Elephas maximus indicus: one gene and its partner. The protein of the gene in region 1 interacts with the protein of each later gene in a pairwise test. Links are inferred from orthologs where the notes say so. Each region holds a gene or a part of one and is shown on either strand. Other genes may lie near its edges.

Evidence for each region.
Region 2: the proteins of protein-arginine deiminase type-4-like (region 1) and ANXA4 interact in binary tests that used the Homo sapiens proteins (3 or more experiments, as listed by UniProt). The two-hybrid records come from large-scale screens. The link is inferred for Elephas maximus indicus from reciprocal best matches to the Homo sapiens genes PADI4 and ANXA4.

The regions. Positions count from the first base shown.
Region 1 is NC_064821.1:56,594,533-56,610,820, reverse strand, and holds the start of protein-arginine deiminase type-4-like, read right to left. Parts: upstream 7,336-16,288; 5' UTR 7,305-7,335; coding exon 7,213-7,304; intron 1-7,212. UniProt on the Homo sapiens protein: Catalyzes the citrullination/deimination of arginine residues of proteins such as histones, thereby playing a key role in histone code and regulation of stem cell maintenance.
Region 2 is NC_064835.1:66,487,681-66,503,828, reverse strand, and holds the start of ANXA4 (annexin A4), read left to right. Parts: upstream 1-8,101; 5' UTR 8,102-8,500; intron 8,501-8,532; exon of another isoform or gene 8,533-8,683; intron 8,684-16,148. UniProt on the Homo sapiens protein: Calcium/phospholipid-binding protein which promotes membrane fusion and is involved in exocytosis.

The DNA of each region.
Region 1 (16,288 bases):
GTCTTCAGTAGGTTGAAGCTTTACACCCACACAAATGCACACACAGGGCTGTACACAAATGAAGAATCACGCAGACTTCTACTTCTGGGGTTATGGCAGACCAGATACTCTGAAGGACATTTGTCTTAAAAAATAACTGAATCATGAATACAATATGCTTTTCAAGCCATTGCTTAGATCATAAGGAGTAAGGGAAATATCTAAGGAATCCCTTCTCTGTGCATGCACATGTGCACACGTGTGCATGCACACACATACACACACACACACAGAGTAGTTAAACTAAAGAACACCAAAGATGAAAAGAAGATCTTAAAGGAATCTAGAAGGAAGAGTCAGATAATCTATAAAGGAATATCGATTAGGTTGAAAGAAGGCTTCTGAACAGCAACAATGAAATTCAGGAGACAGTTGAATGGTATCTTCAAAGTAGTTTGAAAAACTGATTATTAATCTAGAATTGTGAACCCACCAAAACTTTTAATAAAGACATTTCAGATGAGCAAAATTTGATATTTTAAAACCAACAGACTTTCACCAAAGCAACTTCTAAAGACATACTTTAGGAAGAAGATTTCTGACACCAGAAATATGATATGAGGTAAAAAGAAAATTTGTGAGCAAATAAAATGGTAAATATTTTGGTAAATCTAAACAAATGCTGTCTATATACAAGAAAGTTATAAAATATATTTTCCAAGGCAAGGCATACATGGATCATTTAAAATATTGACCCAAACTTGGCCAAAAGGTAAATTTCAACAAACATTAAAGAACAGGTAACAGATAGAATAGGTAGCATATTCTTTGATCACAACATAACTAAGTTGGAATTCGTTAACAGAAAGTATATTTTTCAAACCCCTTTACCATACATTTGGAATTTTAAAAACCAAGCTTGTAAATAACTCATAAACCAAAGGAAACTTAGTAATGGAGATTAAATAATAATACTTAGAAATCAAATGGGTGGGTGTAAAAGTGGTACTTTGTGCCTTAAATGCTTATGTATTTTTTTAAAAGACCAAAAGTTAAGAAAACAGGGTGTAACCTCCCCAAATAAAGAAAATAAATATAGCAGAAATCTATGAACTAAAAAAACTAGAAACAACTAAATCAACAAAGCCAAAAGTTGGTTCTTAGAACAAACTAACAAAACTGACATATGTCTGGCAAGGCTGATCAAGAAAAAAGAATGAGGAATACAGGAAAAGCCATCACTACAGATAAAGCACATATTTTGTAAGTAGTTGATAAAGGTAAACAAGAAACCCACAGAAAGCATCACAGGTAATAGAGAAATTTTGTAAACCTTCCCTTAAGGTCAGGGACATGACAAGGATGCCCACGATCACCACGGTTTCAACGGTGTACAGCAGATTCCAGCTCCTCCAGCAAGAGAAGAAAAAGAAAAGGTATAGATTGAAAAGTAAGAAAAATGGCCAATATTTGCAGATAGTATGATTGTCTGCAAAACCTAGAAGAATCTACAGACAAAAGAAAAAAAAGAAATAGTAAGGACTTAGTAAGGTGGCTTATGGGGGCCCCATGCACAAAGGAATGAAAAACACTGCAGAGTCCTCTGCCATATGCACGATCCGTTGTGGACTGGACCTTTGTGATCTGCAGGGTTTTTCATTGGCTGATTTTTGGAGGTAGATTGCCAGGCCTTTCTTCCTAATCCATCCAGTCTGGAAGCTCCACTAAAGCCTGTTCAGCATCATAGCAGCATGCAGGCCTCCAATGACAGACAGGTGGTGGCTGCCATGAGGTGCACTGGCTGGAATCGTAACTGAGTCTCCTGCATGGAAGATGAGAGAATTCTACCACTGAGCCACTACCTCCCAGACAACTACTACAGGACAAAACCCTTTCCTAGAAGAAAATGGGGTCTTGCCACTTAGAGACAATTACTAATATTTTAATGTTTTGCCTTCAGGGGAGAAGTTTTTAAAGTATGTTCTGAAGAACCAAAGAAAGCCAAAGTAGATAAAAAAAGAAAAACTCTTTTCCTCACACTTTTTTTTTCCCCTCCCTTCCCCTGATTTTATTTCGTCTGCTGTCCTCCCTGGCTTGGACCCTCATTCTGTCAGCATAAAGTCAATTTCAAGTTCTTAAATTTTAACAAATGAACACGTATAGAGCATTGATTTATTTCTTTGTGCCAGGCAGTGTTCAAGTTCTTTTCATGAATTAACTTATTCAGTTCCCATCACCACCCTATACCCTGTAGGTATATTATTATCTCCATTTTACAGAAGAGGAAATTGAGGCACGTAGAAGCAGAGTCGCTTGCCGAAGCTTAGCTCTAGGCATGTTGCTTCTTGGTCCAAGAGCCTCCTGTATTTCCACTGTCCCCCACCATGTTTTCCTCACTCTGCCATCAGGTAGGTTCACTCACAGTTCCCCACACCTGCTGAAACGCTTTCATCTTGCAGCCTTTGCTTATTGTCTGTCCTTCACGTGGAATGCTATTCTGCTCTCATTTCCTTTTCTCAGGATCCAACCCAGCCCTTTGATGAGGACATTGTCCTGGATTATCAGAGGTCGGTTCAGTGTGATCACAACGGTCCTTACAAGAGGGAGGAAAGAAGCTCAGAGTCAGAGAAGGAGATGCAATGGTGGAAGCAGAGATTGGAATGTGATTGATGGAAGGAACCATCAGCCAAGGAATGTGGGTGGCCTCTAGAAGCTGGAAAAGGTAAGGAATGGGTTCTCCTTAGCGTCTCCAGAAGGAACGCAGCCCTGCCAATACCTCTGTGAAGCTCATTTTCAGACTTTTGATCTCCAAACGTTAAGATAATACATTTGTGTTGTTTTAAGCCACCAGGTTTGTAGTAATTTGTTATAGAAGCCATAGGAAACTCATACACCCTTGCTCTCTGTGCTTCTCTCGACAGCAGTTCTCTCTCTCCACCTTTGAGAAAGTCCTGCTCTCAACTGACATGATGCCTTGGTTCCTGAAAGGTGGCCGGTAATTAAAAACCACTGGAACCAAAACCAATTCCCTCATAAGAAAAAAGAAAAAGCAAGTGACACGTTCTAGAAAATTTTTAAAAGTCAGCCATGCCAATGTTTGCCTGTCATGAGGATATGAACAGCAAAAGGTGACAATATAGAAAAGTTTATTCTTAGCTAAAATCAGAGAAGTCATGGGGAAGTCTAATTAAAACATTAGCTTCCAACCAGCAGCCACAGTGTCCTCTGCCTCCTCCCTTCAGGAATTCCGGCAGTTGGAATCTTTGTCACCTGTGTTGACACTGCCAATGTGTCATAAGCATGGCATTGCCCAAGTTCTGACTTTCACTAAGGTGAAGCCTGCAGCATGTGGCCAGTTGGTCACCTTTCTCAATGTGACCATTAACCCCTATTTTCACAGCCACCCTATGGGGGGGGGTGTCGTTACTCCTACTTTACAGATGAGGAAACCGAGACTCAGACGGGCGAAGTGACTTGCCCAGGCCACACGGCTGATAATGGCAGGTCTGGGCCTGCCTGCAGCCAAGCCTGAGGTCATGTCCACCATACTGTGGCTGCCTTCCTTGTCTGCACTCGCCCCCACTCTGCTGTACCAGCACTGTGCTCTTCCGCAGGCCAAAACCAAAGAAAAAAAATTCAAACCCTTTGCTATCGAGTTGATTCCGACTCATAGATACCCTATAGGACAGAGTAGAACTGCCCCATATGGTTTTCAAGGAGCAGATGGTGGATTCAAACTGCAGACCTTTTGGTGAACAGCCTGAGCTCTTAAACCAGAGCTCAGTGGTTCCCAAAGCTTGGTCCCCAGAGCAGCAGCATCAGCGTCACCTGGGAATTGGAGTCCCACCAAGACCTACTGAATCAGAAACTGTGGAGCTGAGTCCCAGCAATCTGTGTTTTAGCCAGGGCTTCAAACTGGTTCATTCCAGTTCCAGCACCTGCTGAGAATTTGCATTTCCACCCCAGATATACTGAATCGGAATCTGTATTTTAACAAGATCCGCAGGTGATTCTTAGGTATGACAAATTTTGAGAACCACTGCTCTACTAATGGTTCTCAGAATTGGTTCCTAACCAGCATCTTTAGCATTGCCTGGAAACTTGTTAGAAATGCAAGTTCTCAGCAGGGGTTCCAACCTGACCGAACTGGTTCTAAGCCCTGGTTTAAAGGAGCATTCCACTTGATTCTGATGCATGCAGGATTGTGAGAACTCTGCCCTAGAAGATGCTGATACAAGTTTGTTGCATTACCTTGAACTTGACTGGAGTCTGAGGGAAATATGAAGTGACACACAGGGTGGGATAAAGAGAGCACCACACCTGGGTGTGGGTTGTTATTGCTATTTAAAGCCACAGAGTTGGGAGAAATCAGCCTGGAGTCAACAGACTTCCTGGGCTGGAGGAGAGGAATGCATTAGTCTTACTTGAGGGACCGAGAGGTAATGAAGCAGGGAGGCAGTGGAGCAGGGAGCAGAAGCAGAGAATCAAAGCATTCAGGCCAACAGGAGTTGAGATTCAATATGGTGGGCAATGGGGAGCTGGGGTACGTTCTGGCGAAAGGGAGTGGCACGATCGAATTGTCAGTGGAAGAGAAGGTTCAGAGCCGCGCGAAAGAAATGTGGAGCTGGGAGAGACAGGAAGTAGGAGTCTTGAAGGTCCCTTGAATAATTCAGGGCTGTAGTTCCTGGAGTAGGTGGGGATAAGGGAAGTTGGGGTCCGGATTAGAGGGGCTATGGAGACAAGCAGGAAACAGGCAGACCTGGGTTTGAATCTTATTCTCGCCACTTATGACCCGAGTAAGCATGGACAAGAAAGCATGAATTCCTGTAATAGACACAGTGATGTATTACGAGTGACAGAAACAATCATGGCCATAAACCAGTTTAGAAAAAACAAAACAAAACATAGTTGTGGTTGAGTTGGTTCCGACTGATGGTGACCCTATGTAAGTCAGAACAGAACTGTGCTCCGTAGGGTTTTGGTTTTGTTTTGTTTTTTTAATGTCTTATTGTATTTTTGGTGAAAGGATATACAGAAAAACAGTTTCCCATTCAACAATTCCTACAACCACAGGGTTTCCACTGGCTGATTTTTCTGAAGTAGATCAACAGGCCTTTCTTTGGAAGTATCTTTGGGTAGACTCGATCCTCCAACCTTCTGGTTAGCAGCTGAGTATGTTAACTGTTTGCACCACCCAGGGACTCCAATCATTGCAACCCAAAATAAAAACCAAATCCATTGCCATCAAGGTGATTCTGACTCAGCGAGTCTAAGGACAGAGAACTGCCCCACAGGGTTTCCAAGGAGTGACTGGTGGACTCGAACTGCAGATCTTTTGGTTAGTAACCGAATGCTTAGCCACTGTGCCACCAGGACTCCAGTCATTGCAGTTAAAAAAAAAAAAAAACCAAACCCGTTGTCGTCGAGTCAATTTTGACTCACAGTGACCCTATAGGACAGAGCAGAACTGCCCCATAGCCATAGCTGCCATTTATTATATATTCTGTGCTAGGCACTGTGTAAACTACTTTATGTACAGCTCCATGACAACTCTGTGATGAAGGTACCTTTATTGTTTCTTTTTATAGATGAAGAAACTGAGGCTGGAGAGAACGCATGCACTATTGGTTGAGGGCAACTATGTTCTGGCCCTTTAGACGTGTTGCTTCATTGAACATTCACGGCAGCATTCCAAAGCAGGCACCACTCTCCCCATTTTACAGATAAGAAAACTGAGGCCCCAAGGCACCCTGACCACGGTCACCTGGTCACACAGCTCAGGAGTGGTGGAATTGGGATCTCATCTAGAACCTCTTCTTCTACCAGAGCACCCCACTGAAATGCACCCATAGTTGGTAGCCCAGGAGACAGGGCAGGGGGTTAGGGTTAGGGTTAGGGTTGAATGAGTTATATGTAGGAAATACAATGTAAATATTAGCTATTCTTATGAGAGATATTTAGGGGATAGAATTGACAGGGCTCATGGCCATCTGGAGGAGGAGAAAAGAGGATTTTGAGGCACCTGTGAACTGTGGGGTTCCCCTTCTTTCTGGGGAGAAGTGGGCAGTGCCTCCCTCTTGGCCCATCCCTGGCCATCTCTCTGTCCCCATCTCCAGAGCCAGAAGAAGCACTTGTGACCTTAGCCCACTGCTGCTCAGTGCTGCCCGGCCCCATGTAGGGTAGAGGGCTAGCCTGGTAATGCTGCCAGGGGCCTGGGCTAGCTCCGGCCCCTTTCATTTCCTCTGTATCCACCACCAAGCATCTCATCCTCAGAGCAGTTTGTGGCCTCAAATGACATCAGGCTCTTTTTCTTTTATTCTTCAACCTTTTCGTTCTCCCGTTCCCCTCTGTGGCCCTCGGAGGCCATGCAGATATTTGCTGCTGTTCTCACACTCCCCGGGTACAGGCAGTGAGTGGTACTTTCAAGGAAATGTTCCTGGCTGGGATGGAGGAACCAGGGCTGCCATTACTTTTACTGACAACAACTGTAACCATAACAACCATATGCACTCCCTGAGAACATTCTTTTACCATCTTGTTTTCCCCAGAGTCTGGCACATGGCTTGGCACGTAGTCGGCTCTTGTTGAGTGAATGAAAAAACTACTACTTGACATGTACCTAGCCCTGGCTAAGTGCTCAATAAACGTTTTCACATTTTTTTTTCCCACGTTTAATCCCTACAAGCACCCTATGAATTGGGTATTATCATCCCATTTCACAGATGAGGAAATGAGGCTCAGTTGCCCAGCTAGCCAACAGCAGGGCCAGGTTCCCCACCTCGGTCTGTCCCGTGCCAGAGCCATCTCATCAGGCCCACACTATTATGCTTTGCTGAGTGGTGTGGGGTAACAAAATGTACCTTGAACCAGGTACATTTCAGGAGGCCCAGGTTCTAGCCTTGCTTCCAGGGCATACTTGCTGTGTGAAGTTAGGCAAGCCACAGACCCTTTCTGAGCTTCTGTTGCTTCGACAGTGAGAGAAGACAGGCCCTGATTGACTCATAATAATTCTCTGTGGTGAGGCCCACAGGAACTCATACTCGTACAGGGCAAAGAGTCCACTGCCGTGAGCCTGGGCACCTCCCAGGGCCCCTTAGGTCTTATCTCTCCCAGCTGCTCCCCTGGTTGTGGCTACCAAAGCTTGCACCTGAAGCCTGAGCCAACCACACATTCCTGCATCAACAGGGCAGCCTCGCCCAGCATTCCCAGGCCTGCCCACAGCCCCCCTCTCACCTGAAGACGTCGACCCGAGACTCAGTGCCCAGCACACACACACCATGGGTGGGCTGCTCTGGGGCCACACGGATCACTGGTGCCTGAGCCATTGCCCCGCCAGCTCCTCCCTCCGGCTGCAGGAAGCCTCTGGGCAGGTTCCTTTATACCATCCAGCAGGGGCCATGAGTCAGCGCCTGTGGTGGAGGCCAGCAGCTCAGCCCCTCCCTGTTCACGTCCTGGGCAGATGCTCTCAGCTGTCCTCTGTCCTGGGCCTGCCCCTCAGGAGGCTTGGGGTTCAATGCCAGGATCAGGGGCGGGGCAGCTAGCTCACTCAGTGCCCTGGGAAGCATTGAGGGCTCCGGGGGGCTTACTTCCAAGTGAGGAAGCCCTCATACCCATGGCCCCGTCCCAGCTGGGGGTCCATGACCACCTGGATCCACCCAACCTCGCCTCCCTGAACCAAACAAGGGCATTAGAGAAAAGAAGGAGATACAAGTAGGGAGGGTGGGAGATTTTAGGTGAGAGGTCACAGCTCAGGCTACACATTCAAAGACCAGCCAGGCTTGGGACAAGTCTCCCCAGGCTGGGTACCAACATGACAGCACCTCCTTCTTGAGTGTGTCCCATGTGCCAGGCGCTGTCTGTGCACTTTGCCTGGAATAACTCGTTACAACAAGCTTATGAAGTAGGCACTGTTATTATCCCTTTGTTTCATCCTCACAGCAACTCTCTGAGGCAAGTGCCATTATTATTCCCACTTCACAGAAGAAGAAACTGAGGTGTGGAGACACTACATAGCTAGAAAGCCCTAGAGCCAGGATTTCAACTAAAGACGTCTGGCTCTAGAGTGTGAGATTTTTCAGCTGCCTGTTCATGTCGAGAGTGCTTTTCAGACTTTATTGTATCTACTCCTCACTGCAGCACAAAGTATATATGTACGTATTATTATCACCCATTTTACAGAAGGAAAAATTGAGGCTCAGAGAGGAAAACTGCTTGCCCAAGATTCCATGGCCAGTGCACGGGAGAGCTGGCCTGCACACTCCAGGATGCCTGCCACTTGCTGGGGCCTCTGGGTGTCAGACTAGACAGAACAGGAGGGGACCACGCCTGCCACGGGAACACTCACTCAGCCACAGAGCTGTGGTTGCACCTGGGCCTTTGGTGTCGGGCTCTGTCTGCCAATGGGGTGTTGGGTGAGGAGGGCTGGACAGGCCCCAACAGGGAGCACTCAGTGGGGGGTGTATTCGGGACCTGGAAGGGGCGTAGAGTGTTCTGAGGGTTGGGGATGTTGTATTTTGTTTGCTTTGGCTTCAAAGCAGAGAGTTTGCCTTAGTGAAGAAGAGTCTGACTTTGGGAATGGGCAAGTCTGAATTCAAATCCAGCTTCATGCTAACGTGCCTCTGAGGCAGGTCCTATCATGAAGCTCAGTTTATAGACGAGCCATAAAGGCTCAGAGAGGCTAAATTAGTCTTTAAGGTTCCACAGCCCAGAAAGTGCAGGGTCCAGCTTCCAAACCCCCTTCTCGACGCTCGAAGCCCATTTTCTTTACCAAGAGATAATGCGGCCAGACCTCCTGCCCTGATGTGTCCACACAACTGCTTGCACACAGGAAATCTTAATAAAGGAAAGTTCTTTGGCTGGCCATAGAATTCAAGGTGGTTTGAGCTTCTAATGGAAGGTGGCTGGAGGGAGCTGTCAATTGTCAGAGTTAAGAGGACCCTCAGGGAACGCCAAATCCAGTCCTCATTCTCTAGATGGGGAGACCCAGGCACAGAGAGGGGCCTTGACATTCCCGTGGTAACACAGCAAGGGGGACGGCTTAAATGCCACCAAGTCTTAGGTCTCCTGGGTAGTTTATTTTTTTCCTATGGCAGTTTGGGGTTTACATCGGCTGTGGATAAGCCACAAGGAGGACAAACCAAAAGCAATTTTGTTAATCCAACAAATATTTATTGAGTACCTACTCTTTGCCAGGAAACCCTGGTAAAGTCTAGCAGTTTGAAGCCGCTAGGAGCTCCTTGGAAGCTCTGTGGGGCAGTACTACTCTGTCCTATAAGGTCACCATGAGTTGGAATCGACTTGACAGCAATGGATTTGTTTGTTTTTGCTGTTTGCCAGGCACCCTCTCAGGTGCTGGGGATACACAGCAAATTAAATAAATAAAACAAAGATCCTTGTCTTCATGGAATTTATTTTCTAATGCAAAGAGACAGTCAGTAGGCAATAAATATAATACGTGGGTTATACATTATGTTAGGAGGTCACAGTTAAGGAAAAATGGAGCAGAGTTAGGGTTATCAGGGATGCACGGTAAAGGGGAGACTGCAATTTTAAATAGGGTGGTCAGGGTAGGTGACATTTGAGCAAAGACTTGAGGGAGGTGACAATGTGAATATTTGGGAAAGAATGTTCCAGGTAGAGGGAACAGCCAGTGCAACCAGTGCGTGTCCTGAGACAAGGACATGTCTGGTGGGTTCCAGGAAGAGTAAGAAGGTCACTGTGACTGGGGGGGAATGAGGATGAGGGAGGGGTGAGCAGCAGGAACAGATGAGGGAACAGATCATATAGGGCCTTGGGGGCCTTGTAAGGACTTTGGCTTCTACTTGAAGTGACATGGGGAGCCTTGGGGGAGTTTTGTTCAGAGGAAGAACATGATCTGGCCTCTTTAAACACAATCACTCTGGTTGCTGTGTGAGAGTAGACCATAGGGGGCAGAGGAGGAAGTGGGGAGACCAGGGAGAGATGATAGCGGCTCAGGCCAGGGTGGTGGCAGGGAAGGAAGAGAAGTGGTCAGATTCTGGACATATCGTGAAGGTACAGACAATAGCGTTCGCAGGTGAGTTGGATATTGCTGTTGTTAGGTGCCATCAAGTCAGTTCCCACTGATAGCGACCCCGTGCACAACAGAATGAAACACTGCCTGGTCCTGCACCATCCTCACAACTGTTGCTATGCTTGAGCCCATTGTTGCAGCCACTGTGTCAATCCATCTCATTGAGGGTCTTCCTCTTTCTCGCCGACCCTCTACTTTACCCAGCATGATGTCCTTCTCCAGGGGTTGGATGTGGGCGAAAGCAAAAGAGAGGAACCAGGGCGACTCCAAAGTTCAGGGCCTGAGCACCTGGAAGGATGGAACTGCCATCACCTGGGCTGGGGGAGGCTGGCAGAGGGCAGGCTGAGGGCAGTGGGGAGATCAGGAGTTGGTCCTGGCCATGTCCACTGGGAAATGTTCATTCGAGTAGTGCAGAGACATTCTGTAGAGGGATTGGACCTATGATTCTGGAGTTCGAGACAGAAGACCATGCTGGAAACGAAACCTCTGAGATGTCGGCATGGAGAAGTCGCCTAGGGATGAGTGTGGATGGAGAAGAGAGAAGTCCAAGGAATGAGCCCTGGTGTGCTCCACCAGAGACCAAGCAGGAGTGACCAGACAGAGGAGGACCCAGAGAGCAAGGTCTTGTTATTTGCTATTCCATAGGAGCCAATGAAAGCCAGGTTTATAAACATTTCTTTAAGTATAACATGGGGGAGCCTCTGTCCTCTTTCTGCACACACACACACACACACACACACGCACACACATACATGCACACATGCACACCCATAGTCTTGGGGGAAGCAGCTGCATTTCTGAGGCAGAGCCTCTCTGCAGACCTGCACTCAGCCATGCAGGGCAGGGCAGGGGCAGTGGGCTCTGGGGTGGGCAGGGGTCGAGATCAGTGAAACAAGAGGCAGATGGGCCTGGGGGAGGGGTGCGGGGTACCACCCACTCCAGCATCTCCGATGACTTCATCATCACACAGATACTCCCTACTGTTGGATGTGGGGCCTGTTTGCAAATTTTCAGCATCATAAACGATGCTGCAATGTATTAACAAACCATGCACGTCTGTGGCTATTTGCAGAGACTTTGTGGATTTATCTTTGCATAATCTCGTTGCTACTGACACCTCCATCCTCACCTGGGCCTTCTCTCCCCTAACTCCCCTTACAGCAGACCACCAGGTCTTCTTTCAGTTCCTAGAAAAGGTTCAGGAACTTCTGGGTCTTAGAATCTCCCTGGGCAGCTCCCCTCTCTGGTATTGTCTCCCCATTATGACCCCCATCCTGTCCTGGGAGATGCCTCGGTAGCAGGGATGGTGCCTAAGAGCAAAGACTGTGTAGCCAGATGGCCTGCGTTCAAATCTTGGCTCCGCACACCTAGTTGTGCAACCCTGGATGAGTTCCTTCATCTTCGTGCCTCAGTTTCCTCGTCTGTGATATGAAGATGATAACCATACTTATCTCATGGGATTGGTATGAGGATTATATGACCTAACACATGTAAAGCTTTCTGAACAGTGCCTGGCGAAGGATAAGTGGCTTGTCAGTGCAAATTTAAGTATTTCGGCTTCAACATAGCTTCCTCCAGTGGACGTGCCTGATTCCTCCTTCTAAAAGGTGCTCCTATTCTCCCACAGAGCATTTTGGGTTTTGCCCTTGAAATTTGCCAGTTTGTCACTATGTGTGTATATAAATGTCTGTCTCCTAGCTAGTCTGGATTCTCCGTGTCTTGGTTGCACCCCAGGGCCTGGAACAGTGCTTGGTACATAGTAGGTGTTCACTAAACACTTGTGACTGAATATCATGGCTGTTTGCAGCTCAGCATTTGACCTATGGGTGCGTCCTCTGAGGGCAGCCTCCTGAGAGGATCCTTGAGAGCCCAGCATGGCTGTTACCTTTCAGGAGGCATTAACCCTCTCAGAGCCTCAAGGGGGCCTTGGGGCTGGGGACCCTCTCCTGTCCATGTGCGCAACTGGCTGAGAACCCAAGTCAGAACCTGGAGGAAGGGGCCCCTTTTCCTGCCAAATGCAGAATTACCAGCCCAGCCCCTCACCAGGAGGAAGTGAAGGTGTTTTGAGGGTTGCTCAATGCCCTCTGGGCATTTAGGGCCAGGCCACTGAGCACTGAGCTAATGTCCAGGCACTGTGACTGGCCCAGTATCATCCTGGGGAAAGAAATCAGGGTCCGTAAACACTCCCAGAGACTCTAAGAATGAAGGTAGTGCGGTTGTGTTAAGAATAGATGGCCTAGCCATTCCTTCAGTAAGATTCATTCATTTAGCTGTTCATCAGCAAACCGAATGCCTACTAAGTGCCTGGCACTGTCTATTAAACGCCCCCTGGTTATCAGGGAGTCCTGGTGGTGCAGTGGTTAAGTGTTTGGCTGCTAACCAAAAGGTTGGCAATTCAAATCCACAGCCGTTCCTTGGAAACCCTAAGCGGCAGTTCTACTCTGTCCTATAACGTCACTATGAGTCAGAATCGACAGCAACAGGTTTGGGTTTTGGGGGGGTTCGTTATTAAACAGAGCCCTGGTGGCACAGGGGTTAAAAGCTCAGCTGCTAACCAAAAGGTCGGCAGTTCGAATTCACCAGCCACTCTTTGGAAAATTTATGGGGCATTTCTACTCTGCCGTATAGGGTCACTAGGAGTTGAAATTGGCTTGATGTCAACAGATTTGGCTAGGTTTTTGATTATTAAATGAAGTCTCTGGGTGGCACAGACGGTTTGCACTCAGCTGATAATCTAAAAGTTGGCGGTTCAAATCCACCCTGTGTCTCTGCAGAAGAAAGTCCTAGTGATCTGCTTTCATAAAGATTACTGCAAAGAACACCCCATGGAACAGTTCTACTCTGTAACATGTGGGGTTTCCATGAGTTGGAATCAACTCAACAGCAATGGGTTTGGTTTTTTGGTTTGTTATTAAACACCCAGGTGGCACAATGGTTAATATGCTTTGCTGCTAACTAAGAGGTTGGAGGTTCGAGTTCACCCAGAGGTGCCTCGGGAAAAAAACCTGGTGATCTACTTCTGTCTTAGCTCCTGCTGAAATAACAGAAGGACCACAAGTGGAAGGCTTCGACAAACTGAAGTTTATTCTCTCACAGTCTAGTAGGCTACAAGTCCAAATTCAGGGTGTCAGCTCCAGAGGAAGGCATTCCTTCTCTGTCAGCTCCGGAGGAAGGTCCTTGTCATCGATCTTCCCCTGGACTAGGAGCTTCTCCACACAGGAATTCCAGGCCCAAAGGACACAGCCTGCTCATAGCGCTGCTTTCTTGGTGGTATGAGGTCCCCAATTCTCTGCTCACTTCCCTTTCCTTTATCTCCTGTAAGATAAAAAGTGGTTCAGGCCACACCCCAGGGAAACTCCCTTTACATTGGATCAGGGATGTGACCTGAGCAAGAGTATTACATCCCACCCTAATCCTCTACAACATAATCTAGTCTTGCCTCCTGAACCACAGTTAGAGATTAGGATTTACAATTGTTGTTGTCATTAGGTCCCATCTAGTCGGTTCCAATTCATAGCCACCCCGTACATAACAGAACGAAACACTGCCTGGCCCTGCTCCATCCTCACAATCGTTGTTATGCTTGAGCCCATTGTTCCAGCCACTGAGTCCATCCACCTCACTGAGGGTCTTCCTCTTTTCCGCTGACCCTGTACTCTGCCAAGCATGATGTCCTTCTCCAGGGACTGATCCCTCCTGACAACATGTCCAAAGTATGTAAGTTGCAGTCTCGCCATCCTTGCTTCTAAGGAGCATTCTGTTTTACTTCTTCCAAGACAGATTTGTTCATTGTTTTGGCAGTCCATGGTATAGTCAATATTCTTCGCCAACAGCACAATTCAAAGGCATCAATTCTTCTTCCGTCTTCCTTATTAACTGCCCAGCTTTCACATGCATATGATGTGAGTGAAAAGGCCATAGGTTGGGTCAGGGGCGACTTAGTCTTCAAGGTGACATCTTTGCTTTCCAACACTTTAAAGATGTTCTTTGTGGCAGATTTGCCTAAGGCAATGCGTCTTTTCATTTCTTGACTGCTGCTTCCATGGGTGTTGATTGTGGATCCAAGTAAAATGAAATCCTTGACAACTTCAATCTTTTCTCTGTTTATCATGATGTTACATATTGGTCCAGTTGTAAGGATTTTTGTTTTCTTTATGTTGAGGCGCAATCCATACTGAAGGCTGTGGTCTTTGATCTTCATCAGTAAGTGCTTCAAGTCCTCTTCACTTTCAGCAAGCCAGTTTGTGTCATCTGCTTAACGCAGGTTGTTAATGAGTCTTCCTCCAATCCTGATGCCCCGTCCTGCTTCATATAGTCCCGCATCTCGGATTATTTGCTCAGCATACAGGTTAAATAGGTATGGTGAAAGAATACAACCCTGACGCACACCTTTCCTGACTCTACCCACCAAAACCACTGCCTTCACTCAAATTCCCCGTGTTCTGTCCGAACAACTGCTTCTTGATCTGTGTGCAGTTTTCTCATGAGTACATTTCAGTGCTCTGGAATTTCCATTCTTCGCAATGTTATCCATAATTTGTTATGATCCACACAGTTGAATGCCTTTGCATAGTCAATAAAACGCAGGTAAACATCCTTCTGGTATTCTCTGCTTTCAGCCAGGATCCCTCTGACATCAGCAATGATATCCCTGGTTCCACATCCTCTTCTGAAACTGGCCTGAGTTTCTGGCAGTTCTCTGTTGATATACTGCTGCAGCCGCTTTTGAATGATCTTCAGCAAAATTTTGTTTGCATGTGATATTAACGATACTGGATTTACAATACATGGGAAAATTACATCAATCATAACATAGAGGACAACCACATAATACTGGGAATCACGGTCTAACCAAATTGACACATATTTTGGGGGGACACAATTCAATCCATGACAACTTTCCAAAAAATCAGCCATTGAAAACCCTGTGGAACACAGTTCTACTCTGCCATGAATTGGAATTGACCGGATGGCAACTGGTATGTGCCATACCTGTCACTAGTCCTTTAGCTGTATTATTTCTAATTCTCCCCATGACTCAGTGGGCCAGGAATTATGATCTCATTTCTGCAGAGTGGTGAGGCACTGTGCTCAAGGCCACAGGTTTCTAACCATCTGCATCTGACACATTTCACTTTCTGTGCAGCCCTTACTGTGCCAGGCCCTGATTTGCATCACCCCTAATCCTCGCAGCAACCTTGATGTCTGACCTACACTGTTCCCATTTTTCAGGTGAGGAAACTGGGCCTCAGGAAGGTTAGGCAATCTTACCAAGGTTACAAAGGCAGGAAGTGGTGATGCCTGGCTTTATCTTTGCTTGGCCTGACTCCCAAGGCTCTGCGTTCTTGCCCTGCTCTGCTGGTCATGCAGCTCCCTGCAGACCAGGGGCCTTGGCCAAGGAGCTCTCAAGGCCCTTCCAGCACAAAGACTCCGGCTCTTGGCCTCTCTGCCTCTATCACTTCAAGCATAAAACTAGGAATGTGTCATGCAGGCTGGCAGAAACTGGCCAACCTCCCCCATCTCCTAAGGTGTTGGTCCAGGTGCCCCCCTGCCTGCTGGGATGGAGTAAGGGCTCTTTCCTTCTCTGCTCGTTCAGCCCTGTCCTGCCCCCAGCACCTCTCTGTCCTTCTTCCCAGAATCTTTTCATGCTTCCACCAGGGAGCGGAATCATGACTCTAACATGTGCCAGGCCCCACCCTGAGCCATTTTACATGTACCCACTCACATGAACCTCACGACAACCTGCCGAAGGGAGGACATATTGATCTTGACATTGATCGTTGATGGATGAGCAGCCAGTTGGGGACACAGATGGGAAATGGAACACAGGTCTGTCTGCAGTGAAAGCCTGTGACCTTCCACCAGGCTGTCTTTGAGAAAAGGAAGGGGACCCAGCCAGAGTGAAGGTTAATGCCCCTGCATTCCTTTTCTGGCACTGACTTCCACTCCATCCTTGACCTTAGGTGCCCACATTCCTTCTTCAGCACCCGGGGCTCCTCCGAGGGATCACAGCCACAAGAATGCCAGCACCAGAAAAGCAGGGACTTGGCTCTGTTCACTGTTCCTCAATGAGACGGACTGACACAATGGCCAAAACCAGGAACTCAAACATATCAATAATCATGAAGATGGCACAGAACTGGACAAGGTTCTGTTCTGTTATACATGAGGCCATCGAGAATTGGGGTCAACTCAACATCAGCTTACAACAGCAAAATATCCCGACTGCCTAGAACAGTGTCTAGCACATAATTGTTG
Region 2 (16,148 bases), on another chromosome or scaffold:
CCATTCCCCCAGTCCAGCCCCCTAGCCCCTGGTAACCTATAATCTACTTTCTGTCTCCATGCATTTGCCTTTTCTGGATATTTCCTGTAACTGGAATCATCTGATATTTCTCCTTTTGTGTCTGACTTATTTCACTTAGCATGTTTTCAAGGCTCTCCCATGTGTAGCATGTATCAGAACGTCAGCCCTTTTTGTAACTGAATAATATTCTATTGTGTGTATAAGCCACATTTTGTTTATCCATTCATGTGTGGATGGATACTTGCGTTGCTTCCACCTTTTTGCTATTGTGAATAATGCTGCTGTGACTATTGGCGTACAAGTAAGTATCTGTGTGACTCCCTGCTTTCACGGTATATACCTAGGAGTGGAATTGCTGGATCATACGGTAATTCCATGTTTCAATCTTTGAGGAACCGCCAAGCTGTTTTCCAAAGTGGTGTTCATGGATTTAAAAGTGAAAATTTTCCTAAGCTCTTTTACCTATAACTTTTAGATTTGTTCCATTCCATGCGGTAGACTTTCATGACAAAACAATGTGATGCTACTTTCCTAAAGACACTACGCTAGAAGGCCCCAATCTTTTCTCCATTTCATCTGCAATGAGGCCTTCAACACCTAAGAAAGATACAATTGATAGTATCTATTGAAAAGAAAACTGAAATTCGTGCATAACAATAGCTGCCCAAGCACCTTCAAGATACAAATAAGGGTGCCCTTCCTCCTCCACCAAGCCATCTTTTAGGTATTAGTGTTTGCTGTGGGCATTTGGGAGCCCTGGTGGCAGCAGTGGTTAAGAGCTACGGTGAGCTATGGCTGCTAATCAAAAGGTCGGCAGCTCAAATCCACCAGCCACTCCTTGGAAACTCTATGGGGCAATTCTACTCTGTCCTACAGGTTGCTATGAGTAGTAATCGACTCAATGGCAATGGGTTTGGGTTTTTTTGGTGGGCATTTGAGGTGCCAGGAGAAGGTACTATTGCTGTACCAGGGCTGCAGTCTCTGGTTGTACAGGTTGTTCACTGCACAAGAGCTCCTGACAGAGAGGCAGAGGGGGACTGAAATCCAGTCTGCACTCCACTCACCAAAGCCATGCACCCAGTTGAAAGGTATCTTTTTCTATTTGGCACAAATACATCAGTGAGACAGACAGATAGCTGTCATTGAGTTGACTCCGACTCATAGCGACCTTATGTACAACAGAACAAAAGGTTGCCCAGCCTTGTGTCATCCTTACAATTGCCAGTATGTTCAAGTCCTACACAGCAATTATTGTGCCAGTCTATCTCACTGGGGGTCTCCCTCACCCTTCCTGGCCCTCTACTTCACCAAACATGATGTCCTCCTTCTGTGAATGATCTCTCCTGATCATGTGTCCAAAGCAAGTGAGTTGGACAGTACTCTGTTGTGATCCATAAGGTTTTCATTGGCTAATTTTCAGGAGCATGTCACCAGGCCTTCCTTCCTAGTCTGTCTTAATCTGGAAGCTCCACTGAAACCTGCCCACCGTGGACTTGCTGAAATTTGAAATACTGGTGGCATAGCTTCCAGCATCACAGCAACACACAAGGCACCACAGTATGACAAACCGGCAGATGGGTGTTGGATGCATCAGTGAGTATGGGCTAACTGCAGCCCTGTGCTCTCTGCTGTCATCATTTTGCCTCCCTGGCCAGGGGAGAGGGCAGTGCCAGAGAGTCACCGGAGTGTTCCTTCAAAGGAGCTCCTTCATTCTCTTGAGCTTCAAAACATCTTTTCAGAGGATCCTTTCTAGATGTTGATGGGTGACTAACCCACCACTGGAAATGCGTAGGTGGAGAATTACCTTCTGCCAAGAGACGTCTGAGTTCTCCACGAAGGCAAAGTAAGGTGAGTTTAGTCTTTCATCCCTCTCTTGGCCGTGTGATTACCTCTTCTGCCACTAGATGGCAACCTCACCCAGATACCGGAAAAGGACTAAAAATAAATAAATAATAACCCATTGCCTTCCAGGGTATTCCGACTCATAGCGACCCTATAGGACAAAGAACTGCCCCAGAGGATCTCCAAAGCTGTAATTTTTTCAGAAGTAGACTGCCATATCTTTCTCTCATGGAGCGGCTGGTAAATTTGAACCGCTGACCTTTTAGTTAGCAACTGAGTACTTAACCACCGCGCCACCAGAGCTCCTTGGAAAGAGACCTCTGAGGACTGAACTGGAGAAGCGAGAAAGTTGGGACTCAGGGGTCATGTGAGTGAAAAGCAGTTTAGTTTAATCCAGCATCTTTATTACGTGATTTTGAGTACTTTGTCGTCCTGTCATGCAATTGTAGCAAATGGAACAGCTCACAGTTTCCTAGTGGTCATCAAGATCACGAAGAACCTCTTCTTTTCTTGAGGGTCTCCTTCATCAATCCTGTTTCAGTCTGCTGATGTTTAAACCCTGGAGACACAGGACAAACCACAAGGAATTCAGCACACTGACACCCGTGAGAAACACTGACCTGTTAACCTGTTTCCATAGGGTCAATTCCGACTCATAGCAGCTGCACCATAGGGTTTCCAAGAAGCGGCTGGTGGATTGGAACTGCTGACCTTTAGGTTAGCAGCCGAACTCTTAACCATTATGCCACTAGGAAGCCTTATTGATAACATAATGAGATGTTGGCTTAATAAATTCTGATTTGAGGCAACCAATAGCTATTGATCATTTTGAGTCTTTTCTTTTTTTAATTGGGGCACATTTTACATACAATTAATGTAATTAGAGGTATGCCCTGGTAGAGCAATGGTTAAGCCCTTGGCTGCTAACCAAAAGGTCGGTGGTTCAAACTCACCAGCCACTCTGATGTAGAAAGTTGTGGCCATCTGTTTCCATTAAGATTACGGCCTATGAAACACTGTGGGGCAGCTCTGCTCTGTCCTGTAGGGTTACTGTGAGTCGGGATTACTCAAGGGCAATGAGATAGCGTTAACTAACCACCTTCCCCACTATTCAATTTTCCAGTTGTCCATTCTGGTATCCACTTTCTTTTTTTAACCTTCTTCCTTTGCTTCTTTGTTTTGCTGGAGCACATCATTTAAAAGCTTCTTAAGAAATGGTACAGAAAGATGAATTGTTTGAGACCTTGCGTGTCTGAAGATATCTTTCTTCTACCCCCATCCTTGACTGACAGTTTGGATGAGTATGGGAATCTGTGTTGGAAATAATCTTCCTTCAGAATCATGAAGGCATTATTTTATTGTCTTCCAGTTTCAATTGTTGCTGCTAAGAAATGTGATGTCTTTTTTTTTTTTAATTGTGGCAAATATATATGTAACAAATCACTTACCTTGTAAACATTTTTCACATGTGCAATTCATTGACATTAGTTATCATGCTGTTCAATCATTGGCTTTATCCGTTTCAAATTTTCTATCATCCTTAACAAGGGACCCTCTTGTCCCTTGTCTCTTATCTGCCCCCGGCAACCACTAATAAACTTTGGTCTCTATACGCTTGCCTAGCCTAGATATTTCATATAAGTGGAATTATATAATATTTGCCCCTTTGTAACTGACTTATTTGCACTCAGCATAATATTTTCACATTTCATCCATGTTGTAGCATGTAATAGGACTGCATTTCTGATGCCATTTTAATTCTTTTTTTTATTATGCTTTTAGCCAATGTTTACAATTCAAGTCTCTTTCTCATACAAAAACATAAACGTATTGTTATGTAATCCTAGTTGCTCTCCCTACAATGTGACGGCACACTCCTTCTCTCTACTCTGTATTTCCTGTGTCCATTCAACCAGCTCCTGTCCCCCTCTGCCTTCTCATCTTTCCTCCAGACAGGAGCTGCCCACATAGTCTCATGTGTCTACTTGAGTTAAGAAGCACACTCCTCACCAGTATCATTTTCTGTTTAACAGTACAGTCTAATCTTTGAAGAGTTGGCTTCAGGAATGGTTTTAGTTTTGGGCTAACAAAGAGTCCAGGGAACATGACCTCTGGGGTTCCGTCCAGTCTCAGTCAGACCACTAAGTCTGGTCTTTTTACTAGAATTTGGGGTCTGCATCCCACTTTTCTCCTGCCATTTTAATTATTGATCTTTTGTGTGAAATCTCAGTTTTCTCTCTGGATGTGTGTGGGATCTTGTCTTTGTCCTTGGTCTTCCGAAATTTTGTCATGATGTGTCTTGGTGTGATTCCGTTTTTGTCCATTGTGAGGGCTCAGCATGCACTTTCAATCTGGAAACGCATGTCCTTTGGTTCTAAAAGAATATAATTGAATTATTTAATTGATTTCTTCCCCTCTGTTTCTCAGACCCCTTGAGTTGGTTTTCTGATTTCCTAATCCTTTCTTACCTTTTTCCCTTTTGCGTATACTTTCTGGGATATTTCCTCAACTTTATCTTCCTACAACTTTACTGAGTTTTTTGGTTTTTGCTATCATATTTTTAACTTAAAAGAGCCCTTTTTGGTTCTCTGAGTATTCTTTTTTATAGTATCCTATTCTATTTTTAGGGGCCCTGGTGGTACAGTGGTTGAGGCCTTGGCTGCTAACCAAAAGGTCAGCAGTTTGAATCCACCAGCTGCTCCCTGGAAACCCTGTGGGTCAGTTCTACTCTGTCCTATAGGGTTGCTACGAGTCAGAATCGACTTGACAGCAATGGGTTTTTATTTTTATGGCTGTAACAACTCATTTCTCAGAAGAGACCAATAATAGATCTTGCAGGGTTTTCATCTTCCCATAGAGATTGTTTCTTCCCAAGTCTCCTTTTTCCTGTTATATGTTTTGGGTTCTATTTTTCATGTCAGATTCTCCTCTTAAATTCCAATGACCTTTGGCTGTTTTGCTCTTATTGAAGAATGAGTAGAGTTGCCATATTTAGCAAAACAAAACAAGAAAAATGGGATATCCACTTAAATGTGAATTTAAATAAATGACAAATAATGTTTTTAGTATAAGCATGTCCCACGCAATATTTAGAATATACTTCTAGTATGTAAGCATTTCATATTTTAGTAAAAAAAACCAATTTGTTGTTTATCTGAAATTCAACTTTAACTGAGCATCCTATATTTTGTCTGGCAGTTCTAATAATGAAATCTAAAATCCTAGCTGGAAGCTCTGTGTGTCTGAAGTGGGTAGGGCTTGACAACTGTGAATTCACTAAAGGGGTGTCCCAGCTGGGCTCTGAAACCTGTTGCCATGGAGTCAGTTCCGACTCATAGCGACCCTACAAGACAGAGTAGAACTGCCCCATAGAGTTTCCAAGGAGTGCCTGGCGGATTTGGACTGCTGACCTTTTGGTTAGCAGCTGTAGTAATTAACCACTATGCCACCAGGGCTCTATTGTTGAGTAACTGATGACAACATCTTTAGGTCTTTCCTCTCAGATTCCCCAGAAAAAAGTATTCCAAACTCCCCGTTCGAGCAAGTATAATCCTGGCTACCAGTGTTCGGGGAGCCAAGTGGAGGGAGAATACTGAACAGCTCAAAATTCATGTTAAGTTTCCTGTGGCTCTTCAGTTCCAGGACAGTTCCTCCAGCCTTGTGTGGTAGATTACAGACAAATTATTTGCTACACCTCCCATTCAGGGATGGCACCTAATTCCCCTTCCCTAGAATCTGGGCTGGCCTTAGTGACTTGCGTGACTTACAGAATGTGGCAGAAGTAATGCTCAGGGGTTTCCAGACTTAGACCGTAAGAAGCCTAGTACCCTAGTAGCTTCCGCTTGGGCCTCTTGGAATCTTCTTTCTGGGAGCCTTGAGCCTCTGTGTAGGAAATCTGACTACCTACCCCAAGACTGCCATGATGAAGAGGGAACATAGAGGTGCTCTGGTTGACTAGACCATGCCAGCTGAGACCAGCCTCCCAGGCTTCCCTGCCATGTTCCCAGACATGTGAGTGAAGCCTCCAGACTAGCCCATGTGCCCGCTGAATACCCTATATGAGACAGAAGAATTGCCCAGCTGAGCCCTGCCCAAAAATAGTGAGGTATAATAAAATGGGTACTGTTTTAAGTCATTGAGTTTTGGGGTAAGTTGCCAGGCAGTCTTAGAAGCCAGACTGCCTTGACTACACCTGGTGACCCCCATTCCAGAGATCTCTGTATCCTGTCTAGAGATTACGCCTGCATCTCCTGCTGGAGTAGGAGGGGGCAGTGGCAGCTGTGCAGTGTTGGGGAGGGAATCTAGGAGCCTGACTGTTTCTGTAAAGACTTACAACAAATCCTCCTATTCCCAGTCTTACCTATAAACCCATTTTCAGAAGTACCCGTTACGGCAAATTCCTGCGTATCTTGGGGAGTTCTACAGCCAAATCACATTGCTTCTCCGCTTTCTCTACTCCTGGCTTAGGAGTTAGCTTTCTCGGGTCTTCTAGTCAGTTATCACCTGTCCATCTGCTTTCTGGGTTCCAACATCTTGTTATTTTCCCCTCTCTTTTTCCCTTGTCCTTGCAAGATATTTTAAAAAAATCTGCTATTGCTTAATGGGATTTCTAGAGGGAACTGAGGTGAATTTATAGGTTCATTCTGCTATCTTTAATTTAAAGGCTCCTTCGAGTCTTTCATTTCAACCATTACATTAATTTTTAAAATACCCTTAGATCGTGTTCCCCAGAAGCAGGAGCCTGAGCAAGTGTCTCAGTGAGCGAGTGTTCTCAGGAGAAACCTGTTAAGTAAATGAGGGAAGTAGGAGTGTGCAGGGGAAGAAGCCGAGCCAAGATGTGGTTTCTGCTGAAGTTTAGCCTCAGTCTGATCCCACAGGAGCTCTGGAGTATGAAGGACCTACAAATTTAGTCCTGGCTATTTGTAAATGCTCAGCTGCTAACCAAAAGGTTTGAATCCTCCCAGAGGTGCCAGAGGTGCCCCAGAAGAAAGGCCTGGTTATCTATGTCTGAAAAATCGGCTACTGAAAACCCTACGGAGCACAGTTCTACTGTGATGTACATGGGGTCACGATGAGTCAGAACTGACTCAAGGACAACTAGTTTTGTTTGTGTACTATAAATGTTAGCCTCTGGCTGTTCTCTCCCCAACTTCATCTGAGGGCCTTTCTCAGGAGAAGGGACTAGCTGGGGAGAGGGGGTGCACCTGCCTAGTAAAGGCGCTGTCAGCAGGGTGCCAACAGCCTCTGCTGTATTCTCTAACTTGCATTTTTTTTTTTAGTGTTTTTGTTATTTTTAAGGGATAAAAAAGTTTCTCATTTCTTTGAGGAAATGAATTATGCTTATTTCATTTTATTCTATTGCTTGCCCTTTGAATTTTGTTTCTTCAAAGTCAGTTCATAAACCGAGGCCCAGAGAAACTTTTAAGTTATTTGCCCAAGCTGAAACATAAAAGATCTTGAATGCAAATCGGTCTGATCCTAAAACTATGTTTCTAAACCATGCTAAACCACCTCCTTTAGCTACATCTTAATGGAATAATTTAATGCTACCACTCCGGTTTTAAGGGGGCAAATAGCCACTTCGAATTTGGTCTGTTGGACAGCAAACACACTCTCAAAAGCTACCTATCCTTTGTTAAATAAAATTGGAATTTGCTTGTAGACTCAATGGACTCGTTCTGCAAGCCTTCCCTGAGCACCTACTATGCGCCTGCAACTGTAATCGGCGCGGGTGCAAAAGTAACCCAGACCCAGTCCGTACCCTCAAGGAGCTTGCCCCGGGTAGAGGAAGCAGATACAGACTGTATTCGTATTACTAAGGGCGCGCGCTGCACTAACGCAGAAAAGGGGAGCTACGCACCAGTATTGTTGTTAGTCGCCCTAAGTCATTGGGTCTCATGACCATAACCATGTGTGCAAAGTAGAACCGCTCCATAGCATTTTCAAGACTGTGACCTTTTGGAAACAGATGGAAAGGCCTCTCTTCCTATGCGCCTCTGGATGGGTTCGAACCGCCAAACTTTAGACTAGGCTAGTAGTCCAGTGCTTAACTGTTCGTGCCACCAGGGACTCCCGACAAGTGCTAAATCATACTGGTTTATAGGTGAAGAGAGAGAGAGAAGATCCGGGTTAGCTCCTACCTCTCCTTCCCAAAGATTTCCTCCGCCTGCTGGGCACATAAGAAAAGTCTCTTTCCTTCTGATGTGGAACTGCTAGAAACTTTTTGGAATGTTTGTTTTAATGTGAAAGAGTGAAATGAAATGTGCCATTGTGATTTCGCTCTCCACTTTTCCGCCGTGAGCCTACGGGCGAGACAGACACCGCGGTTTCCCAGGAAAGAAGCTTTGATTTACGGCGACACACCAGCCCCAGGCTGAGCTGGGCGCGGCCGGTTGGCGAGGAGCGGGGGAGGCCGCGCGTGCGCGGCCGGTGGACGGTGTGGGGCGCCCAGGCACCGAACACCGAAAAGTCAAACTTCCTCGACTCCGTGCGGAGAAAAGGTGCTGGGCGGCCCGGGAAGGAGAACGAGACGAGGAGCCCGCACGGGGAAGTGGCCGCCGTCAGCTCCAGACCCACGCCCGGAGGCGAGGCCACGCTCCCACCGCGCCAGGCGCGCACTCGAGGTCCGAGGCTCCAGGTGCGCTTCGGCCTGGGAGGGATTTTCCGGTCCCGTGAGCAGAGGGACAACCAGGAACTCGGGCTCAGTCTCCACCCCGAAGTGGGGCGGGTCCGGCGGGGATAAGACCCGTTGCCCGGCCCTGACAAGGGTGTGACCTCCTCGGCCTCAGAGGACGAGCTCAGCCCCTTTCGGCACCGAGCGGTAAGGGGTGGCCGGCCGGGGGTGGGGGTGTTCTGGGCTTGGAGACGGGGTGCCGCGGCCCGAGAGCGCGTCGCGGAGATGTGCAGCCCAGCGCCGCGCCCAGGAGGGGTTGCCCAGCGCGGCCCGATCGCCCCGCGGACTTGCGGGCGGGATTGGGGCGTCCACATTGGGCCCGGGACGCGCTGCTAGTGGGCAAGGGGGGGACAAACACGGACTGTACCCACAGGTGGCAGCAAGAAAGGTGTCGAGAGCACTTTATATGCCCAGTTAGGGCCCACCGCAGTTATTTATGCACATGTACCACACAGCGTGCTGGGCTCGGACATTAAAAAGAAAAGATTCAATTCGTATTCTCTGGATCTGCCGCAGGCTAACGTCTAAGTTTTACTTTTTAATTCCTTCTTTCCTCCTTTTAAAAAACTCTACCCATTTTTCCTAGTTTCTTTCCCCTGTCTTTCCTCACGTATCTGATACCTGTAACAGTGCCTGGCACTTGAGAATCTTTCTTTGTTGGGAGGCCCCGGACTCTGGCTCTTTGGTCATGGCTTTGACCAGCTGGAGGCTTTGGAGCCCAAGAGGCTATTGCTTTTCAACCGTCTGCCTGGCTTTAAGTGTTGCCCAAGTTGATGCAAATCTCCTGTGAGTTGTTTTGAACATTTTGAGTTCTGAGTAACCCACGCCTTTCAAGAAAAATGGAGAACTGAAAGGACTTGTGCCCCCTGGAGCTGACAGTAGGAAGGATGGATAGGGCCCCCTCCTCCAAATTATCCATTCCAAGGGCCATCAATTCCAGGACTCCCACGTCCCCTGACATTGCAAGTTACTCTGTTGATAGCCAAGCACTAGTTCTTAAAAGTAGCCAGGGAATTCTTAGACAATAGAGAGGTGAAAAACAGGAGAGGAAGGGGGCAGGAAAGAGGACCCCACCCTGTGGCTGAGTGAGACCTGCTTACTTTCCAGAGCCCTATCTGGCCAAGGCTGGATCCCGGGCATTCAGCTCAGGTCGGATTTCTATTAATCTGGGGATACACACACCCTTACTGGATCAAGGGCATCTATGAATTTTCCCTCCTAAATGTTGTTGCTTTTTTAATTTTTCTATGAAAGCAATTTACGGAGTAAAGTGCACAGAAAAATTGGGCCACACCAGCCTCGGCATTTGGAAGGTGAGCCTCCTGGTCATCCCCAGACTCATGTCACGTAGCTAGCGTTCCTTTGCTTATGTCCAGCCACTCATTTGTTTTTCTGATCTTGCTCACCTAAGGAGCTTGTAGACTAAGCCTGCTCTTCTCCCACAGAGGCCCTGGGGATGGTAGGCAGTGTGCCAGGGAGGACCTGAAACAAGGGAGCATTTTCCTGGGTGTCAGTTTTGCCGAAATTGTTGAAGATAACGATACCTTTGTATTAAAACTATCACAGATACATTTTGGCGCTGAATCTAAAATTTGTATACCTTTTTAACATAAAACCAGAAACTGCAAAGAATTTTTGCAGTTTGGCTTAAACCTAGCCCTTGAGGATTTGTTTTCACTGCAATTAGGGCTACTTGTGGACACCAGTTTGATAAGTAGTGCAGTGTCCTCCCTGAAGGAACTTCTGATAACGGTCATTCTCACTTCAACCTGAGGCAGCATCGTTAACCTTGTTTTGCAGATGAGGAACCCAAGGCCCAAGCTGTGGTCATTTGTCAAGGTCAGATCATGTATAAACTGAGGCTCAAATCCAAATGCTTGGTGCTAAAGCCTGTACTCTTATCCTCGCTGCTCTACTGTGGCCCCATCAGTGCTTGGTTCATAGGGCCTTGGGGTTTAGATTTGTGCTTACCAGCTGATTAACTAAATCTTGATCAAATGTTTTTCTTTTCCCCTTCAACTTTGATCTTATCAAGCCTCAGCCTAAGCAGGTAGATGAAACACTGACACGTGAGATGTGGTTAAACGAACTGGAGCTATTTAGATGGGAAAGAGAATACTACAGTGGGTGTAGTGGCACACGGTACCCCTTGCCGTCGAGTTGATTCCGACTCATTGGAACCCTAAATTCTTGAGGGGCTTGGCATGTGGACAGAGAAATAAATTCACTCTGTATGGCTTCGGTGGGGAGAGCTAGACACATTGGGTAGGAGATTTTTGGATCGTGGGTTCTTATTGAATTTAAGGAAGTGGCTTTTGATGTGGCCTTGGAGTCTTCGAGAGCTCTCTCACAAGAGGTGTCTAGAAAGAGGCTGGCTGTGACGGGTAGAAAGTTATACTAAGATGACTTATAAGCCCATAGCTCCCAAACTTCAGGATGCATCAAAATCCCCCCTGCATGTCCAAAATGCAAATTTTTGCCTCATCCCCCCAAATTCTGATATTGTGTGACTGGAGGGGGACCCAGGAACATGCATATTTAGCTGGCTCAGACTCACCTTGTCTTGGTCATCTAGTGCTGCTATAATAGATATACCACAAGTGGATGGCTTTAACAAAGGGAAGTTTATTCTCTCACAGTCCAGTAGGCTGGAAGTCTGATTTCAGAGCGCCGGCTCCAGGGGAAAGCTTTCTTTCTCTGTTGGCTTTGAAGGAAGGTGCTTGTGATGTCTCTGAAGTCTTCCCTTGGTCTGGGAGCATCTCAGTGGAGGAACTTCAGGTCCAAAGGAAGCGCTCTGCTCCCGGGGCTACTTTCTTGGCAATGTGAGGTCCCTTGTCTCTCTGCTCACTTCTCTCTTTTATATCTCAAAAGAGATTGGCTTAAGACGCTATCTTTTTTTTAATCTTATAGACCTCATCAATGTAACTGCCACTAATCCATTTTATTACATCATAGTGATGGGATTTACAACACCTAGGGAAGTCACATCAGGCGATAAAATGGTAGACAATCATACAATCATAAAAGGGAATCATGACCCAGCCAAATTTACAGATATTTTTGAGGGACACAATTCAATCCATAACACACCTCATAATTTTACAGTGCTTAACATCTATAGACCAATAGGGAGCCCTGCTAAAGGTTTTTTAATTTGTTTTTTTAACTGAATTGAAACTGAAATGGATTACTACATTAAGATTAATTTCCCTAGGGATTTAGGATTTCTATCTAAGGCCTGCTCTTGGTTTTATCGGGAGTTACTTGTTAGTGTTTGGTTGTGTCTGAACAGGACTGAGAGCTTTTGCTATGGGAACCTGAAACACCACCTTTGAAGAATTCTTTTTAACGTTTCAAGTTGTTTGAGACCAATGAATTACCGTACTGCTTCTTGGTCCAGAGGGCTTGACACACAAACCAGAGTGACTGTTATACCAGCAGTCAGCAGCAGGGATAAATTGCAGCTGATGTCCAGACCGCAGACGACTATGGAAAAGACCTTCCATTTCCCCCCGGAACCGTTAAGGCCTAGAGACAACACAGAGCATGAGCAGTGTGACATGGAACCCAGTGGCAGGCACCCTGAGTGGGCCTTTGTCAAGTCATCAGAAAGGCCTCTTGCTCAGTCACCGTGTCTTCATCCCTCTGAGTTAGCTCACTCACTCTGCTGGAAAGGTAATATATTAAATTATTACCAAAAGCTAACTTAGAGGGACCTTGTGTTTACTCAGGAACAAATTCTCCTGAATTTCTTGTAATTGAGCCGTCTGCCTTGAAGGAGGTCCTTTATAGATAGAAGCCTGGTGGTGTAATCAGTCTTCAGCATCTTCCCTAGGCAGGCATTTTCTGGGACCTGCTTAGCTTCAGCTTCTATTTTTGCTGCTTTTTTGATACTTTTGAACTCAGTGGTCCTCACCCTTGTTAGAATCACAGACTTTTTTGAGAATCTGATTACAGCTATGGATCGTCTTTCAAAATTAAATAAACAACATACATGTTATGGTTTCATGTAGTTTCAAGGGGTTCACAGACACCCCCCAAACCCAATCATGGATACCAAGGAACAACATAGACACCGTGTTAGGAGTCCTGAAATTTGGCAGCGCTGATCACAGTTTTTATAAAATGCATTTCCCTTTGTTTCAGCAATTTCAATTCTAGGTGTTTATCCTGTAGATACACTTGGACGTGGGTGTAGATGTTTACAAGGGTGTGTACGTTGCAGCCTTGCTTATAGTAGCAAAACATTAGAAGGAACCTAAATATCTACCAGCAGCCTGTTACGGTCCAGTCGATTCGTCCATGAAACACAATATTATGCAGCTGTGAAAAAATGGTGCAAATTCCTAGGAACTGATACTGAATCATAAAAAAAAAAAAAAAAAATTTTTTTTTTGAATCATATTTGAGATAAATTGTTTTTTTAAAAAAGCTTTGCATGATATGCTATCATTTATGTATATAAAAATGATAGAGGCTATGTATATATTTTTATATGCTTATTTATACATGAAATACTTCTGGAAGGATACACAGAAAAATTCTAGCAGTGGTTGTTTTGGGGGGCGTGGGGTAACGTCTTACAGATTTATCATTATGTATGTTTTTGTACTATTTGAATTTTTATCATGTTTGTTTTATTATCTATTAATTTTTTAAATAGAGAGCTGCAGATAGCCACACGCTCATTTAAATTGCTTGTCAAGAGAGAAAATAAGACAGAAATGAGGAATGTATAATTATCAAATCCTCCAACCTTAAAATTAGTATGTGATCATATAGTTTCTTATTTGCATATAAAGAGTTAACAGGTGTAGTTTTGCTTCTGCTTCTAATGAGATGAGATAGCAGCTGCTCATTCTTGCCACACATTTCAGTTGGGGTATTTATTCATTGGCGTACCTCAGCTTGTTCCAAAAAGAATGTAACCGAATCAGAAAACCAAACCTGTTGCCATCGAGTTAATTCCGACTCATAGGAACCCTATAGGAGAGAGTAGAACTGCCCTATAGGGTTTCCAAGGAGTGGCTGGTGGATTCAGACTGCCATCATTTTGGTTAGCAGCCGAGCTCTTAACCATTGTGCCATCAGAGCTCCAAAAGAACGTAAGGAGCGTTGAATTAGATGGTGGGGAAAGCTCTGTTAAATGGTCTGATTGATTCCAGCATTACTTTAGCTGCAGAAGCAGACAGTGGAAGTAGGTGGGATAAGTCAGGACCTGTCAACTAGATAGACCTGCTGGGGCAGGGCCCTTTATCTAAGAAAGTTCTAGCAGTGATAGCAGGTCATGGGCGCTGAGGGGCCTGGATCCCATTCATCACCCCAGCCGTGGCTTAGTTTATGAGGGCTCTGCTTCTCTGCGTGCTAGAACCTCCATGCCGCAGGTATTAAATAATCATGAGCCTGGCTATGCCAAGCGCCTGGCATGTTATTTTCACCCATATGAGTGGGTGTTATTATTATCATCTGCATTGTATAAATAAGGAAACTGAGGTACAAAGGAGTTAAATAATTTGCTCAAGGTTGCATACCAGCAAGTAGTAGAGTCAGGATTTGAACTTGGCAGTCTGATTCTGCATGTCGTGTTCTACCACTCTGTTATATTGTATGTTGTTGTTGTGTACCATTGAGTTGATTCTGACTCAAAGCAACCCCATGTGACAGAGTAGAACTGCCTCATAGGGCTTTCTTGGATGTAATCTTTATGGAAACAGATCACCAGATCTCTCTCCCATGGAGACGCTGGGTGTGTCCGAACCGCTGTAACTTTTCAGTTAGCAGCCAAGCGCCAAACCATTGCACCACGAAGGCTTCTTGTTATACTGTATAATGGGTTAAACGTGGGGAATCAGCCAGAATAGGCAGTACTGGGAGATTAAGCTGACCATGGGGCTGGACTCTTTCAGAGAGGAAGAGGTGCAGTCTATATCCAAACCACTTGTCCAAAATGAACTTGATGTTGACCTGGGTCATTCTAGGGGGTCCCAGCTGTTGGTGAGGCATGAGAAATGGAGATTAAGCCAAGACAGTGTGCTGCATCATGATTCTGGTAGCTCATTCCTATGGGAGAAAGACTCAGAGCAGGATCTAAAGGAAGGGGAGACAGCTCTGCATCTTGAGGGGAGGGTCTTCTGGAGCTAGGTAAACCAAGAAACTCAAACTTGTTGCCGTCGAGTCAATTCAAACTCATAGCAATCCTATGGTATGGGGTAGAACTGCCCCATAGGGTTTCCAAGGAGTAGCTGGTGGATTCGAACTGCCAGCCTTTTGGTTAGCAGCTGAGCTCTTAACCACTGCACCACCAGCTAGGTAGGATGTCAGTAAACAACAACAAAACTCAAACCAGTTGCTGTTGAATCAGTTCTGACTCATGGCAACTCCATGTGTTTCAGAATAGAGCTATGCTCCATAGGGTTGGGAATGGCTGTGATGTCAGTGATTCCTGCCACATGGACAAAGGTTCATTTAATTTTACAGTGTGGCTAGCACTAGGAATTCAAGGATGAAACACACATCCCCAGTAAATCAACAAATCAAAAATCACAGGACGTTATGAAGGGCGATTGGCTACACTATCACATACTGCCATGGACTAACAAAGGAGGGGCACCTACCTCCATTCTGGATGGTCATAGAAGGCTTCCTGGAGGGAACACCTTTACCTTGAGGGTAGGGTAGGAGAAGAAGGGCTTATCACAGGCAGGGAGATGAGAAAGCAAGACATGGCACACTGGAGGAGCAGGACGAGTCCCAGAGGGCAGAGCTAGAGTGCTGTCAGGAACTAAGGCTGTTCTGTAGGTCTCTGGGAGCCAGGTCAGGTCAGTACTGGGGGACAGGTCCTAGGAGGTACAGGAATCCCATACTTTGGCATCTACCTCAGTGTATGGCACTGTTACTTAATGTTTTTGAATAAAATGGATGAGAGCTGGGTGCTAGGCAGAGGTTTAGCCTTGGAGAAACAAGATGCCCTGCTTCCCTGCCCTAAACCTGGCCAACTCTTGAAGGATTTCAGCTTGGACATAGTCTCCTTCCTGAACCACTGGATTAGGGCCCCTCCTAAGTGCTCCTGGAAACCCTGGTGGCGTAGTGGTTAAGTGCTATGGCTGCTAACCAAAAGGTTGGCAGTTCCTGAATGCTTCGAAGGCCAGCGTAGCAGGGGCAGGGGTCTGGGGACCATGGTTTCAGGGGACATCTAAGTCAATTGGCATAATAAAATCTATTAAGAAAACATTCTGCATCCCACTTTGAAGAGTGGCGTCTGGGGTCTTAAATGCTAGCAAGCAGCTATCTAATTGGTCTCAACCCACCTGGATCAAAGCAAAATGAAGAACACCAAGGGCACAAGGCGATTATGAGCCCAAGAGACAGAAAGGGCCACGTGAACCAGAGACTACCTCATCCTGAGACCAGAAGAACTAGATGGTGCCTGGCTACAACCGATGACTGCCCTGACAGGGAACATAACAGAGAACCCCTGAGGGAGCAGGAGAGCAGTGGGATGCAGACCCCAAATTCTCATAAGACCAGACTTAATGGTCTGACTTAGACTGGAAGGACCCCAGTGGTCATGGCCCCCAGACCTTCTGTTGGCCCAGGGCAGGAACCATTCCCG